Astyanax mexicanus: one gene and its partner. The protein of the gene in region 1 binds, or shares a complex with, the protein of each later gene. Links are inferred from orthologs where the notes say so. Each region holds a gene or a part of one and is shown in the gene's direction. Other genes may lie near its edges.

Region 1 (6,942 bases):
CCTGAACGCAATCAACAACTGCCCTCTGTCCAGGCCCTGGGCCCTCACCTTCTCCTATGGCCGCGCCCTGCAGGCTTCTGCTCTCAATGCTTGGCGTGGAGCCAGGGACAACGAGAAGGCCGCTACTGAGGAGTTTATCAAGCGTGCTGAGGTCAGTTATTCAAATATCACATGATATTCAAAACCCATTACTGCACAGAGGCATATTGATATTAGAGGTATAAATCTTACAGCAGTTTCATTAACCAAATCATTACTGTCAAGCAAAGATTTAATCTCTCATAACTAAAAGCCTGTGTCAATTTATTAATTTTTTAATAAAAATGTCCAAGTACATTTTGGCACAACTAAATTAACAAAAATTTGGTTTTATTTATTTATGTAGAGCCCAGTGCAGCATAATCTCAAATCTGTCTGTGTTCTCTTTAGATTATTTTGTTATAATTGAGAATGATTTTGAGAATGCAGCAAGAGACTGGATGTGCATATGTTTTTTTTTTTTTGTTTTTTTTTTCTCTGTAACCCTAAATCAATCAAGCTAATCAATATCTAATTAACATAATTACTTGGAAGCTGATGAAGGGAGACCGTGCCAATGAAATGTATAATTACTTGTAGCCTTGTGCTCTTCTGTTGTGATTTTCTCCATCTTACTAACAATAATATTTGTAACAAAAATATATATATATATATTTTTTTTTTCTCTCTTCCACAGGCTAATGGCCTGGCTTCTCGGGGCAAGTATGTGTCCAGTGGAACCGCTGGAGCTGCAGGACAGTCCCTGTATGTGGCCAACCACGCCTATTAAAGCATTCCCATCACCCGCCTACTCCAGCTGCCGCCGACCAATAGTATCTTTTGCCGCTGCTACCCTCCATGTCACCAACCAGTCACAGGCCTGCGCTGTTGTCTGTACTTTTTAGGATCGTCATTGCAATGTTCTACTACTAATGTTCTGTCTATTTAAAATGTGTCGAAAATGGAAAGGAGAAGATTCAAAGAAGAGATTAAGGGGGGCTTAAAAGGCTCACAGATGTTATGGGAGATGCTGAAAAATCTAATGTTATACAAACACTGGTACCAAAAGTGGTCATCGTGCTGTATTTAATAAGTAAATGGTATTGCCACTGCGGCTAGATATTAACAACTAGTTCAAGTTATATTTTTGGAAAACATTCTTTACTTTTTTTGTACAAGTGTTCAGTTCTGACACCCTTTCCCCAGCTTGTGTAGTTTTTACCACTGAGTCAGTTAAGCTCCCACATTCCCATAAAGTGCAGCTACAGCCTCTCCAGTTTGATGTGTTGTGTGGTCTCATCCATTCATGTTATGAGACATAATGCGTCTGCATTAGCACTGATCAGAATACAGTGAAAATGCTAACCAAGAACAAAACAATCAGTCTTATTCTACAATGAGGGGGTGAATCAGTGGAGAGAGTGGACCAATGGAGAGAGTGGCGGGTAGGTCAGTACACTTACGCAACGCACAGCCTCACAATGATCAACTAACACCGGACACTGAGCAGCATTTATTTAGTGTTCTATTCTCATCTATTGTAGTGATGAGTCTTTTGGGTTGTGTGCGTCTGTTTGCTTTAAATACAGAATACTAACTTAAATGGGTTGAAAGATATGGAAAATTATATGATTAAATGTGTTCTATTATTCTGTGTATTCCGCATGAGTGCTATGCTCTCTCTCCCCCCAGTGTGGTGACACGTTGGTACACTGAAGTACTATAAAGATTACCATGTAACGTAAATAACGTAATGTAAAGCATAATTCCATGGCTTAACTTTGCCGCTTGGACCAAACTTCTGCAGTTTTGTTTGGCAGAGGGAGAAAGAGCATAGTCACTGCTGGTTTGGATAAACTGTGATGTCATTGTGTTGTTGTCCTCTCAAGCACTTGGTGTGTAAGATTAGAAACAAAAACTATAAAATAAAATAATTTAAAATTCAAGACATGTCTGTTCATTTTTGAAATATACACTTTATCTGCTGTTGGAGTTTGAGAAAACACAGAGCATGTGCTTACATTATCTTATCAGGCCCAGCTTCCTACCACAGTGGATATACAAAAAGTGGATAATCCTTTAGTTTATGCTGTCTAAACTGTCTTTAACGTTATTTAAGCACAGCAGCTTCCATGTACAATGTGAAAACGTCTTTTTGTTAAATGGCTTCAATTATAAGAAAAATTCTACACTTTAATTAAAAGCCAAGACTTATTTTCTTCACCTCTTGAGTTGGCACGGTAACCGGCATGTCATGAAGTAGTGCGCACACTAACAAGCACATTCTAAACCACATCCTCTGGCACATATTAAGCAGCCATCACCACAACTCTAAACCAGCCAGCACGCTGTCTGACACATGCTACAAAACCGTTGGCACTTAATTTGACACAATCTACAGCAGCCTGCACCTCCGAAACCAGCCTGGCACACCATCCAGCACGTGGTAAATGGCTGTCGCATACTCTGGCACGTCCTAAACTAGCAGACACTGGTGCACCATCAAAACACAATCTAGGAGCATCTAGAGAGCACCATTCAACACATTTTAAGCATCCGACACAAACCTTCCAACGGCACATTTTAAGCAGTAGACACAATAACTGGTATATGGAGAGTTTTTTTTAAGCACAGTGTGCAGAAAAATATAAAGCTGAAGTACAGTAAAGAGTAAATCCTGTAAAAATGACACAATGCCAAAACTAAATCCTACTCCCACCAATAACCGAAAATCCTACTCTGGTGGTAAAACCTCCCATGTTGAGTCCAGAGTAAAATACATTTTAGGAGCCCAAGACTTGCTGTTAGAATAAAGAAGTCATTCAGACTTCTGAGATCAAAGGGGGAGTATAATTGAAATTAAACTGCTAAATATCAGGTATTCCTATGTGAACTTCTTTGTTCTAATATCGATCATTACGGTTTAAAGGCGTTCAGTTCTAAATGTTGCTTCGTTATATACAGCTAAACTAGCACTGCAAGATAGCGATGGTCATTTGAAGTGAAGCGTCGAAGCCTGCAGGTTCGAGGTTTGTATCGTTATTATAAAAATCACGTGACTGATTAAAAAACAAGGCCTCGGATTCTGTGGGACACGTGATCGTTTCATTTTGAGTGTCGCTACAGCATAAAGAGGGCTCGAGCCTTGTAGCACCTCGTGTTTTTTTTAGTTGACATAAGATCCATTTATTTACTGGAGCAAACAAAACATTCGTAAATATTTACATTTTCTTTAGCTAGGCTAGCACTGAGCTGGTTTGTGCACTTCGGGCACCTCAGTGCCATGTGAAAATGTATTCTCTAATGCTGAGTAGATTTTATTGAAGAAAAATTATCACCTCCACCCCAACACAGTTATAAAGCTTCTTTTTTTATAAGAATTAATGTTATATTTGTCCTTTTGCACATACTACTCTGATGCAGTTTATTGTGCTTAACTCCCCCAGTTCCATAAGCACTATTGTGTTCAGTGTCAGTGTACAACAACACTCAGCTATTTCCATTAAAAATACATTATTATATTAATTGAGACAGAGTGGCAAAATAATTTATTTTATACACAGATATTTAAGGATACTCTTGCTCAGGATTCATTTAATCTGTCATATAACTCTTTGAACAGCAGGTGTCACTGGTGAGAACGATTCATTGAGGCAAAACACCGGCTGCTTTAAAATGTGCTAGGTTGTGGTGGCTACAGGGTTGCCAGGTCCAAAAAAAAAATCCAGCTCAAACTCAGTCTAAAACCTTCCCTTTAAAAGCGTAAAATAACCACAACTCTGGCTGGCTGGTATATGATGTGTAGCCTGTGCTTGTTTAATGCACTGTTGAAAATCTATCGGCTACAATAGTTGTTGTTGTTTTTTACGTTATTTGTCCTTCCCGGGTACCCGTAGACTCATAACTCCGCCTCTCCTCTGCTCTGATTGGCCAGAGCGCTTTGTCAGGCCCCGGTAGTAGTTTCCTGTAGTCATGGCATCGATCGAGGCAGGCGAGTCATTTATTAATATTACTGCATTTTTTTCTGCATTAGAGGCTTTATTGAGGTTTATAACGCGGGGTATTGAGTTTGTACTGGGTGTGTTTAGTGTATGAGAATGTTTGTGTGTGCGTGTCTTTAGTAAACTGAAGCTGTAATAATTAGCTAAACACTAGTTACAGAAGCTCCCGTAGGGCTGGGTCTGCTGCTGCTGCTGCTGCTGAAGCTGAAGGGAAATCAGTGTGGGGGTTCTGGTAGCTTTGTTTATATAGTGTATGTATTATTACGCTGTGTTTCTGCTGTTTCCCGTTATTATGCGCACCTCATGTGTTCACAATTGCGCATTTTATACTCTAAAATACAGAAAAGCAGCGAGGCAAATATGCTGCCCTGGCCATCGCAGCTGTGGTCATCTTGCTGGGGATCCCTCTGTGGTGGAAGACCACCGAGACCTATCGAGCCTGGCTGCCCATCTCACAGATCAGCGAGCTCGACTCCTTACAGGTACATTCTGAGTCATTATACTATTAGATACACCTGCAATATGGGCTCAGAGTATCCATAAAACAAAATAGCCAGCTCATCATGCTACTGGACGAGCTCATTGATTTTATTTTAATTTAATTGTTTCGCTGGTATATAAGCCTTGATCAACCAGACCAAGCTAGCTAGATAATCAATATAACCAAATCTCCGTTCTGACACCCCCCCCCCTCCATTAACACAGTACTGCAACTTAGTACTGAAATCAACACAGAAATTGATTTTTTTTTCAAGAACTGACATGCACTCACACCCCATACCTGCACTACTGCTTCCACTTGCACTGTCATACCCACTTTAGTTCCCCTTACAACTGCGACATTTAAAGAACTGTATGCACTCATTCACCTTACCAGCCTTAAGCTTTTACACCTCATTTTTAATGTTCATGCATGCCCCCCCCCCCGCCAACACTATTGTACTTGTAACTTTGGGATGGAGAGTAATGTAATTTCAATCCTCTGTATGCCCTGTACATGCTATCAAGCTAGCTGGTTAGATAACCAATATAGTTACCCAAACTTGACCAAGCTAGTTGGCCAGCAAGACTGATCATGACCAGAATTAAAATCAACACAATATGCTGATTAGCATCTGGTTACCAGATAGCCTCCCAGCATGTATGGGTAGGTTTTTGTCTGGATGACCAGCTTTTCAACCACATTGACCATCAAGGACCAGCTTAGACCATCTCAGACCATCTCAAACCAGCTACCAAGCAAAAAATGGTCTTTAGCTTGACTTTCTTTGAGCTTATATAACCTCTTTAGAAAAGCATCCACAAGCCATCTGTCACCAAATATTGATTAGAGCCCTTAGACATTGGGCAGTAATACAGTGAATTTATTGTATATGAAGGATTTAAACCTTTTTATTGCTCACAAAAAAAAACTTTTCAGAAGAGTAGAAGATGTTGCTGTAGCAAAGGAAAAAGATGTTAAACTCCCTAATAATACTTGTGGTTTTTAGAAAAAATGTTGGAAAATTAGACATTTTGACACATAGATTACATTATGTCTATTTCCTACGAACCTCCATACTGGTTACTGATTATTTAGATTAAACTTTGTTTAAACCAGTTATATTAAGATTAAATTCCATGGACTCTTATAATTAAGCTATTTTTGTATTATTCTGTCAATGTCTTAAAATGGTTTATTGCAATACTTTCTGCAAAATCTTTCTGTGTATATAGCTCCAGTTAAGTGTTGAGATAGAGGTGGTCTTCTCTCGAGGAACGCTGAGCCCTGAACTGCAGTCAAAGGTTCCGCTCAGTCAGACCAGAGAGCAGGAGAATCAAGTAGATGGTAAGATGATTACGAAGTTTCTACATTTCTACAAGAAATGTCAGCAAAAATGAGCATGTTATGATCACCCCTCTTATCTTCTCTACTTCAGGAAAGACCATGCTGCGGTACAGATATGAAACCAAGTACCGCACCGCTACTATCATGGAAGAAGATGCATTGAACCAACCCAGTGCTGAAGGTTGAAAAATATTACATTGAATTGTATACACTGTTTTATCTTGTCATGTGATTAGTAATGATTAAGCATGATGATAGAAATACCTGCCTTCATGCTTTGCTTGAATTTCCTTTCTACAGAGGCAGATCTGTCCCTGCATATGCTTAGTGAGAGTGCCTGTGGGTCTGTGGTGGTGTATATCATCCCTGAAAGCTCCACCCTGCTGCCAGCGGTAAGACATGCACATACACTATTCCAATTGTTAAGGTGGGATTTAAGAAATGAGGGAACCTTTGTTCTTTAAATTATTGTGTAACAGGTTTCTCTCTGCTGTCTCTCAGGATATGAAGGTGTATGTTGGGAAGCGGCGCACTGCTCTGCTGCGTGCTGCTCCATTTGAGGGGGCTGCTGGTCTAAAGGAGGTGCTGTCTTCTCTGGAGCCTCAGGTCAAGCAAGTGGCCGATACCATGTCCTTCAGCCACCCGGACATTCTGGCTGCCCTGAGTGATCGCATCCGCATCGGCCAAGTCAGCAAGGAGAGACTGGCTGACAGCATGAGGGCCATAAAGTCCAGTCCAGGTGTGATATCTGTCCATATACAGCTCTGGAATCAGTTCTGAATCAGTTTCTCTGATTCAGCTATTTATAGGTATATATTTGAGTAAAATGAACATTGTGGTTTTATTTTATAAACTACGGACAACATTTCTCCCAAATTCCAAATAAAAATATTGTCATTTAGAGCATTTATTTGCAGAAAATGAGAATCGGCTGAAATAATCTCATATTTCAAACCTGAAATAATGCAAAGAAAACAAGCTCATATTCATAAAGTTTTAAGATTTCAGAAATCAACATTTGGTGTAATAACTCTGTTTTTTAATCACAGTTTTCATGCATCTTGGCATGTTCTCCTCCACCAGTCTTACACACTG
Region 2 (7,025 bases), on another chromosome or scaffold:
TTCATTTTTAAACACTGTGAACATGCACTGAAGAATCAGCAGGGCTGAAACAACCTGTTTAAACAGTCGATCAAATATAATCAGAACAATACTGTCATAATAAAAGTCCTGATGATCTGATATGATACTGGATCTGCAGCATCAGGCAGGAAGTGGACAGTCCGTAAATTTAACAAGAAACAAACATGTAATGGAAAGCAGACGAGGTCAGAACATCTCCAGAACATCAGACAGGTCCTGTGGAGTTTTCCCAGAATGCACTGCTCAGTACCGACCGGATGGAGGCGTTTGATCCTTTTGGACTTTATATCACTTACAGATCTTAAACAACCTAAACAACACTCAGCAGGTGGTTATAATATTATGGCTGATTGGCTGAACTGAAAACTGGGCTGTGAGTTCATTTGGTGAGAAATCATATTAAATCCAGTCAATATGTTCAACATATATATCATAAAATAACATGAAGATACTTTTACTTATTTCTAGTTATTAAATGACCTATTTCTACTCATATCTACATTAATTATCTTATTCTATTCTATAAAAGTCTCTTGACTTGTTTAAGACACAATGCTGCTACAAATGCTGAAAAAAACAGAATAAGATAAATTTCACTGAATACAAACGTTTAAAACTAGTAGAAATAAGTTAAATAATTATAAAAAGAAATTGATATTGATATTTACACTAAATTTAAGATGTTTTCACTCACCAGCGTATCGTTCCTCCCAGCTAAAGCTTTGAATCTGAACGTTTTAATGAGATAAATCTACATCTGGAGCTAGTTTTAACTTCAGAAATGCTACTTTTATTTCTATTTAATCAGAGAAATCTGGTCTGATCACCTGAAACCACCTCTGATCAGATTTCTCCTCTAATCTTCAAACAGAGTCACTACTGAGAGTATAAAGTTCCACCTTGCCATCTACTGGTGAAAAGGTGTCATATCACACTCTGAACACTGGAGTTCACCACGGGTCCTCGGGCTGAAGGTTCAGGAGGAAGCGGAGGTTCTGCTCGGCGTCTTTTGGTTCAGCAGTTTCAGTCCTGAAGGTTCTAAAGGTTCTAAACCGGAGTTCTAGTGTTTATTAAGGCAATAAGAGTCAGTTTCCGCGCGGATCTTCTCTCACATCAAAGATCCATCAGCATCCGGGCTTTCAGGTGTTTGATTTTGAGGGAGTAATATTCCTCCTGTAGCTGGAGAACCCGTTCCTGACGCCGCAGAACCGCCATCTCCAGATCCGTCTTCTCGCCGGAGGCGGAGGCGGAGGGGGAGGGGGAGGGGGAGCGAGGAGGACTCACAGGAGGAATCTCGTGTCTGACGATATCGTGGTTTATATGATTGACAGGAAGCTCGATGTTCATGATTGGAGGAACCGGAGAGGGGATGTACTTCACCTCCACCTGATCCTCCTCGAAGATCACGCTGCTCTCCTCCTCTAATCTAAAAACACACAGACAGACAGACAGACAGACAGACAGACAGACAGACTAAATTCATTAAACAGAAATGATAAAACGAAATAAAATATTTTAAAGTAAAAAAGTTTTAAAATGGAAACAAAACGTAAAAAAGTAAAAATAAATCTCTTTAGATAAAGAAATAAATGCGTGTAAATATGATAATGAAAGTTTACCTGTCTTTAAGCTCCGCCTCCTTTCTCTGTATTTTGAGAATATCCAGCACGACCTTGGTAACGGGGCTGACGTGATCTGCAGTCAATAATCAATAATAAACTGATTAATAAACAGGATAATCAGATAATCAGGTGGAGGGGGATGGGCTTAGCTCACCTGTGGGTGACGGATGGGTTAGCATAGCCTCTTTAGCTTTAGCGAGCTCCACGAACCAGTGCCTCTCGCACTCTTTCCCGGTGCGCGGGACGTCCGGGTGGGCGGTGGAGATCTCCTCGGCGATCTCGTCCCACGCCCACCGCCGGTTGGTGGCGATCTCGCGGCAGGAGTGCCGGCCGGTCAGCAGGTCCATCCGCCGGGCCTTCACCAGCTGCACCAGCAGCAGCTTCTGCTCCGTCGACCAGTTCGGCTTCCGCGGCCTCATCGGAGCTTCGTACAGATCAACTACAGGACCGGGAAAAAACACTGATCAATACATAAATACACTAATCAATACATAAATACACTAATCAATACATAAATAAAACACTGATCAATACATAAATGCACTAATCAATACATAAATACACTAATCAATAACTGCACTTTAACCCTGCCTACTCAATCTACAGCTGATCAGCCACACCCATTCACATGAAAGTAATTACAGGACTTTAACTCGGCCACTCCAAAGTCTTCACTCGGTTTTGCCTCAGCCAATCAGAGCTGAACCTGCTGGAGAGTTTTGGGTCATTGTCCTGCTGCAGAACCCAAGTTCACTTCAGCTTGAGGTCAAGAACAGATGGACGGAGATTCTTATTCAGGTTCCATTTATCACAGCAAGTCTCCCAGGTCCTGACACAGCAAAGCAGCTCCAGATCATCACACTACCACCCCCATGTTTTACTGTAGTATGATGCTCTTTTTCTGAAAGGTTACTTTTACACCAGATGTAACAGAACAATGTTCTTTTTGCTCAGCAGTGGGTTTTATCTTGTATCTACAATACAGCAATTTTACAGGACAGAAATGAAACCTTCATCACTTTCAATGGGAGTCAATGTAAAAAAGGTGCATTCAACAAAAATTGTGATACATTGTAAGGTTTGTGTGAAAAAATTATGTAGTAAACTAAAAAAAAGAAAAAACATGCATTTACTAAAAAAACATGGAAACACCAATACAAAAAGTGCACTACATCATGCAACATTTGAGCCATAAAAGGATTTTAAAAGGATTTAAAACTTAATATCTAAGCAGAATAAGCCTCCTGCTTAACTAAAAATCTCATTTTACCCATATTCTCATTAAATCAGAAACATTATATATTACCATAAACAACTATGCGATATATGCATGAGATTCGCCTGTTTATCCTCACTTTTTAAATAATATAGGACATTTTTTTAAATATGGAACACATATCTCATCCCTGGCCCTTATATTAAATTTAAAAACTGCATATTTGTAACAGATCAGCTCTTTAATCAGATTAAAAACACAAAATCACAAAAACACAACTCTAGCTCTAAAACAGAGCTTAGCTGCTTTACTATTCTAACTAAAAATACATAATTTTAGCAGCAGAACAGACAGACAGACTCCCAGCAGCCTCTGCTCTTTTATTATCAGTCTGTTTTTATATATAAACACACAGGCGCTCCTGTGGCCTAATAGAAAACAGCAGCTCTGTTTTTATCATTCTGCACTAAAAACTGGAAATAAAGCCTAAAATCAGTATTAAAATAAAAATGCATGCAAAATTTGAGCCATAAAATGATTTAATACTCTGTATCTTATACGAATTAGGCCGCTGATCCTCCTGTTTAATTATCTCGGGATAAAACGCGGCGCTGTTTACGGTAAGAATCACTCCTAGCAGACTAAAATCAATACTAGGCTAACATCAGTTTTTGGTGGTGTAAAAAAGCGCGCTCACCTCCTAATCGGTTTCGGTTGAGCTTTAATTTCAGTGAAGACATAAAGATCGCTAAATGATTATTTTATCGCGGTGATTAATGTTTTTTAGGAGGTTGAATCCACGCGACAAAAGCCGAGGGTGAAGTTGGCTTCTTGTCCGCCAGCTTCTTAATCGAACTCTCCAGTCCACCTTAAATTCTGCAGCTTTTCCATTCTAACCGCTGCGGGTACATTAGAACTGCTGCGCGCGTTCTGAACGGAACTGCTGGGATTTTTAAGGTGGAACGGGGAGTTCGGTTAAAGAAGCTGGCGAATAAAGAAGCCGACTCCGGCGTCGTCACGGGAAGTAAGGGGGGTGATTTTTAAAAGCGTTTTTTTAGGAGTTGTAGTTTCCTACGGGTTCACCCGAACCAGGGAGCCTTTGCAAAACCGCTACTCTAAAAACTACACCTCCCACAATGCACCCCGCGCCGTGAGGGCGGCTAGCGCGTCTCCTCAGTGAAGATGGCCGCTCCCTTAACGCTTGTTCTGGTTCTGGCGGTGACGGTTCGGGCGGTTTTATTCCGCTCCAGCCTGGCGGAGCTGATCTCGGAGCGGGTGGAGGTCGTGTCGCCGCTCAGCGCGTGGAAGAGAGGTGGGCTGCGGGGCGCTGCGGGGCTCGGGGCCGCAGCGGTGCGGGGATATTGTGGATGTAGCTAATGTTGCTAATGCAGCTCTAATGGATCAGGAGTAGAGGTGGAGAACCCAGGTCCAGAAAGTAAAACTCCATCCCAGGGTTTTATACCAACTGCCTGAGCGGCTCCCGCAGCAGAGGCGACCTGGCAGTGGGTACAAAACCCGGGGCTGGATTTTTACTTTCTGGACCTGGGTTCCCCACCTCCTGTCAGGAGCGAGGCTAAGCTAACTAGCTGCTATCAGTTAACTACTAGTGTTATTACAATTAATAAACAATGTTTTATCATTCAGTGATAGGAATAGTGCATATTTAAACACATATAAAATGACAACAGTTTATATATATAGCTATAGCTTTAAATTAGCTAATCTAATGTTATACATACATAAAGCTCTGTAAAAAATGAAGAGAGCACTTCCGTTTCTGAATCAGTTTCTCTGATTTTGCTATTTATAGGTTTATGTTTGAGTAAAATGAACATTGTTGTTTTATTCAATAAACTACAGACAACATTTCTCCCAAATTACAAATAAAAATATTCTCATTTAGAGCATTTATTTACAGAAAATGAGAAATGACTGAAATAACAAAAAAGATGCAGAGCTTTCAGACCTCAAATAATGCAAAGAAAACAAGTTCATATTTGGTGGAATAATCCTGATGGTTTTTAATCACAGTTTTTTTCATGCACCTTGGCATCATGTTCTCCTCCACCAGTCTTACACACTGCTTTTGGATAACTTTATGCTGCTTTACTCCTGGTGCATCTTCCTCTTGATTATATTCTAGAGGTTTTCAATTTGGTAACATCAAAGAAACTCATCGTTTTAAAGTGCTCTCTTATTTTTATTTTATATATATACAATCACAGCATCACATTATTTTGATCATTTTCTATTTTAGTTTATTCTTCTTATCATGTCACAGCATTTTATTATACTCTTATCTAATATAAACCCTTACACACAACTGGAATTATACCCTGTGCTGGTCAGGAGCAAATCTAGTCAATCAGTTTGATCTAAACAGTAAAAGAATATGAATACTGAGTTCTGCAGATCTCCAGTATTAAAACAGTGTGTGTGTGTGTGTGTGTGTGTGTTCCTCAGTGGTGGAAGGCCTGGCGCTGCTGGACCTCGGAGTCTCGCCGTACTCAGGAGACGTGTTTCATGAAGTGAGTTCTGTAGTTTCAGAGACGTGTGATCTGATTTATTAAATCACTGCTTACTGCAGATATTAGAGATTAGTGTGTGTCTGTGTTTCTCCCTTGTTTTAGACGCCCCTCATCATATACCTCTTTCATTTTGTTGTGGACTATGCAGAGATTGTGTTTATGGTGAGTATTTGAAGTCTTATATTGATTACGTCTCATTCTCTTTATATCCCTGTCTGTGTTTATAGTAAATATGTATAATTTTCAATTTATTGTAAATCTTCTGCAAGAAAGTGAAATAAATCCCATCCCTGTCACACTCTTCTCTTTTCCTCTATCCTCCATATTATACTAGCTGTGCTTGTGTGTATAGGTATGAATACAATGGGCTCAATTTTAGTCATCCATAGTCCAACCGTGTACCATGCAGCTTGATGTAGGGCGTGGTGTCAGTGTGTCTTTGCTATCGTAACAACGGGAAAAGTACACCTTGCTCAAGTTGAAACACACAAAAGGCTGTACTAATTCTCTTAATTAATCATGGGTGTGAGTTTATTATAATTTTGGGCGTAACGTGAAATAATAAACCAATCAGAGCGTCTCTTCTTCATCATTCTCTTTAAGAGTAGATCAGGTGAGCTCTGTCTTTGGTGGATTGCTATTGTAACGGTGCAGCTACCTGGACGTGTTCAACAAACTCTTCTCAGCAGAGTAAAACTGAGCTGCTGGTTGACGCTGTGAAGGAGCTCCAGCAGCTCATTTACGGGAACAGCAATGTTATTTTATTTACTATTCTGTTTATTGTTGATGTAAAAGTTGGGTTTGTGCTGCTGTGTGAAAATTTGGTAAAATTAGAAGAAGAAAACAGAATTAAAGTTGATGTTTTCCTGATTGGGAGTCCCTGATGTAAAGCGAGTTTCAGCGCGACCTTGCGTGTGTGTTTCTATGTTGTGTGTGTATGTAACACACTCGCGTTCCCATGAGAGAGAGTCCTGCTGTAGCGCGAGAGCAGTGTTGGCTGTAACAGACAGATGATGAAGAGGAAGAGAGAGTATCTGAATCAGGCGTGATCTGGTCTGAGTCACAGCTCTGTGTTAATCCTCTCTCTCTGCAGATAGCAGATGGAATCACGGCGGTGGCGCTGTATCTGGCTGTTCAGAACTACAACAGGAATGTGGTGAGTAAGAGGAGGACTCGTCTTCATCAGTGAGACACTGTTCAGTTTTACATTTACACTGTTTATATCAGTCCTCACTGTACATCCTCACACAGATCAGAGCGGAGTTCATCTCTCTGTACTGCAGAAACTCTCTCTGCAGTCCTCAATATCATGCCTCATCTCCTCACACCTCTAACGAGCATAATAAATATACAGATGTTCATATACTTTAGGTGGTCTAGAATTATGAATTAAATTTGTCTCAGTGTTCAGCATGTTACTGTGATTTAGACTGATCTGTTCTATTAATGAAGTGTATCTGCTGATTAAACAGGTAATTGAAGGTAATCTGTCTTTACTGAGGGGTGAATTTAACCTGCTTGTGTTTTATTGTAGTTTAGGAAACAGAAATACGCTCTGGAGGCCAACAGATACCCACCCGACTGTCTGGAGCTCATGCGCTCCCCTAAAGAGATGTTCTACATCCCTCTCAAAGTGGC

The links. The genes of interacting proteins can lie anywhere in the genome.
Region 2: the proteins of pigs (region 1) and pigu are in contact, whole or in part, in a cryo-EM structure (PDB 8IMX), measured with the Homo sapiens proteins. The link is inferred for Astyanax mexicanus from reciprocal best matches to the Homo sapiens genes PIGS and PIGU. Residues at the interface, in NP_149975.1 of Homo sapiens: Ala4, Gly5, Ala8, Thr9, Glu12, Arg15, Arg18, Ala19, Phe22, Phe23, Val26, Leu30, Leu34, Trp35, Thr38, Thr39, Leu510, Leu511, Phe513, Ile521, Tyr522, Leu525, Phe526; in NP_536724.1 of Homo sapiens: Gln118, Phe282, Glu283, His284, Phe285, Leu287, Phe288, Phe289, Cys291, Val292, Phe293, Ile295, Phe299, Tyr300, Ile302, Pro303, Ile306, Lys307, Lys309, Glu310, Thr417, His418.

Annotation. Positions count from the first base shown.
Region 1 is NC_064424.1:13,017,377-13,024,318, reverse strand, and holds the start of pigs (GPI transamidase component PIG-S), read left to right. Parts: upstream 1-3,938; 5' UTR 3,939-3,990; coding exon 3,991-4,009; intron 4,010-4,361; coding exon 4,362-4,501; intron 4,502-5,735; coding exon 5,736-5,847; intron 5,848-5,938; coding exon 5,939-6,028; intron 6,029-6,147; coding exon 6,148-6,239; intron 6,240-6,348; coding exon 6,349-6,586; intron 6,587-6,942. Other genes in the region: aldocb (fructose-bisphosphate aldolase C-B), read left to right, coding at 1-151, 716-808. UniProt on the Homo sapiens protein: Component of the glycosylphosphatidylinositol-anchor (GPI-anchor) transamidase (GPI-T) complex that catalyzes the formation of the linkage between a proprotein and a GPI-anchor and participates in GPI anchored protein biosynthesis.
Region 2 is NC_064412.1:58,073,825-58,080,849, forward strand, and holds the start of pigu (phosphatidylinositol glycan anchor biosynthesis class U protein), read left to right. Parts: upstream 1-4,018; 5' UTR 4,019-4,041; coding exon 4,042-4,171; intron 4,172-5,322; coding exon 5,323-5,387; intron 5,388-5,489; coding exon 5,490-5,549; intron 5,550-6,480; coding exon 6,481-6,543; intron 6,544-6,921; coding exon 6,922-7,025. Other genes in the region: uncharacterized protein si:dkey-6e2.2, read right to left, coding at 1,135-1,447, 1,641-1,716, 1,798-2,082, 3,557-3,599. UniProt on the Homo sapiens protein: Component of the glycosylphosphatidylinositol-anchor (GPI-anchor) transamidase (GPI-T) complex that catalyzes the formation of the linkage between a proprotein and a GPI-anchor and participates in GPI anchored protein biosynthesis.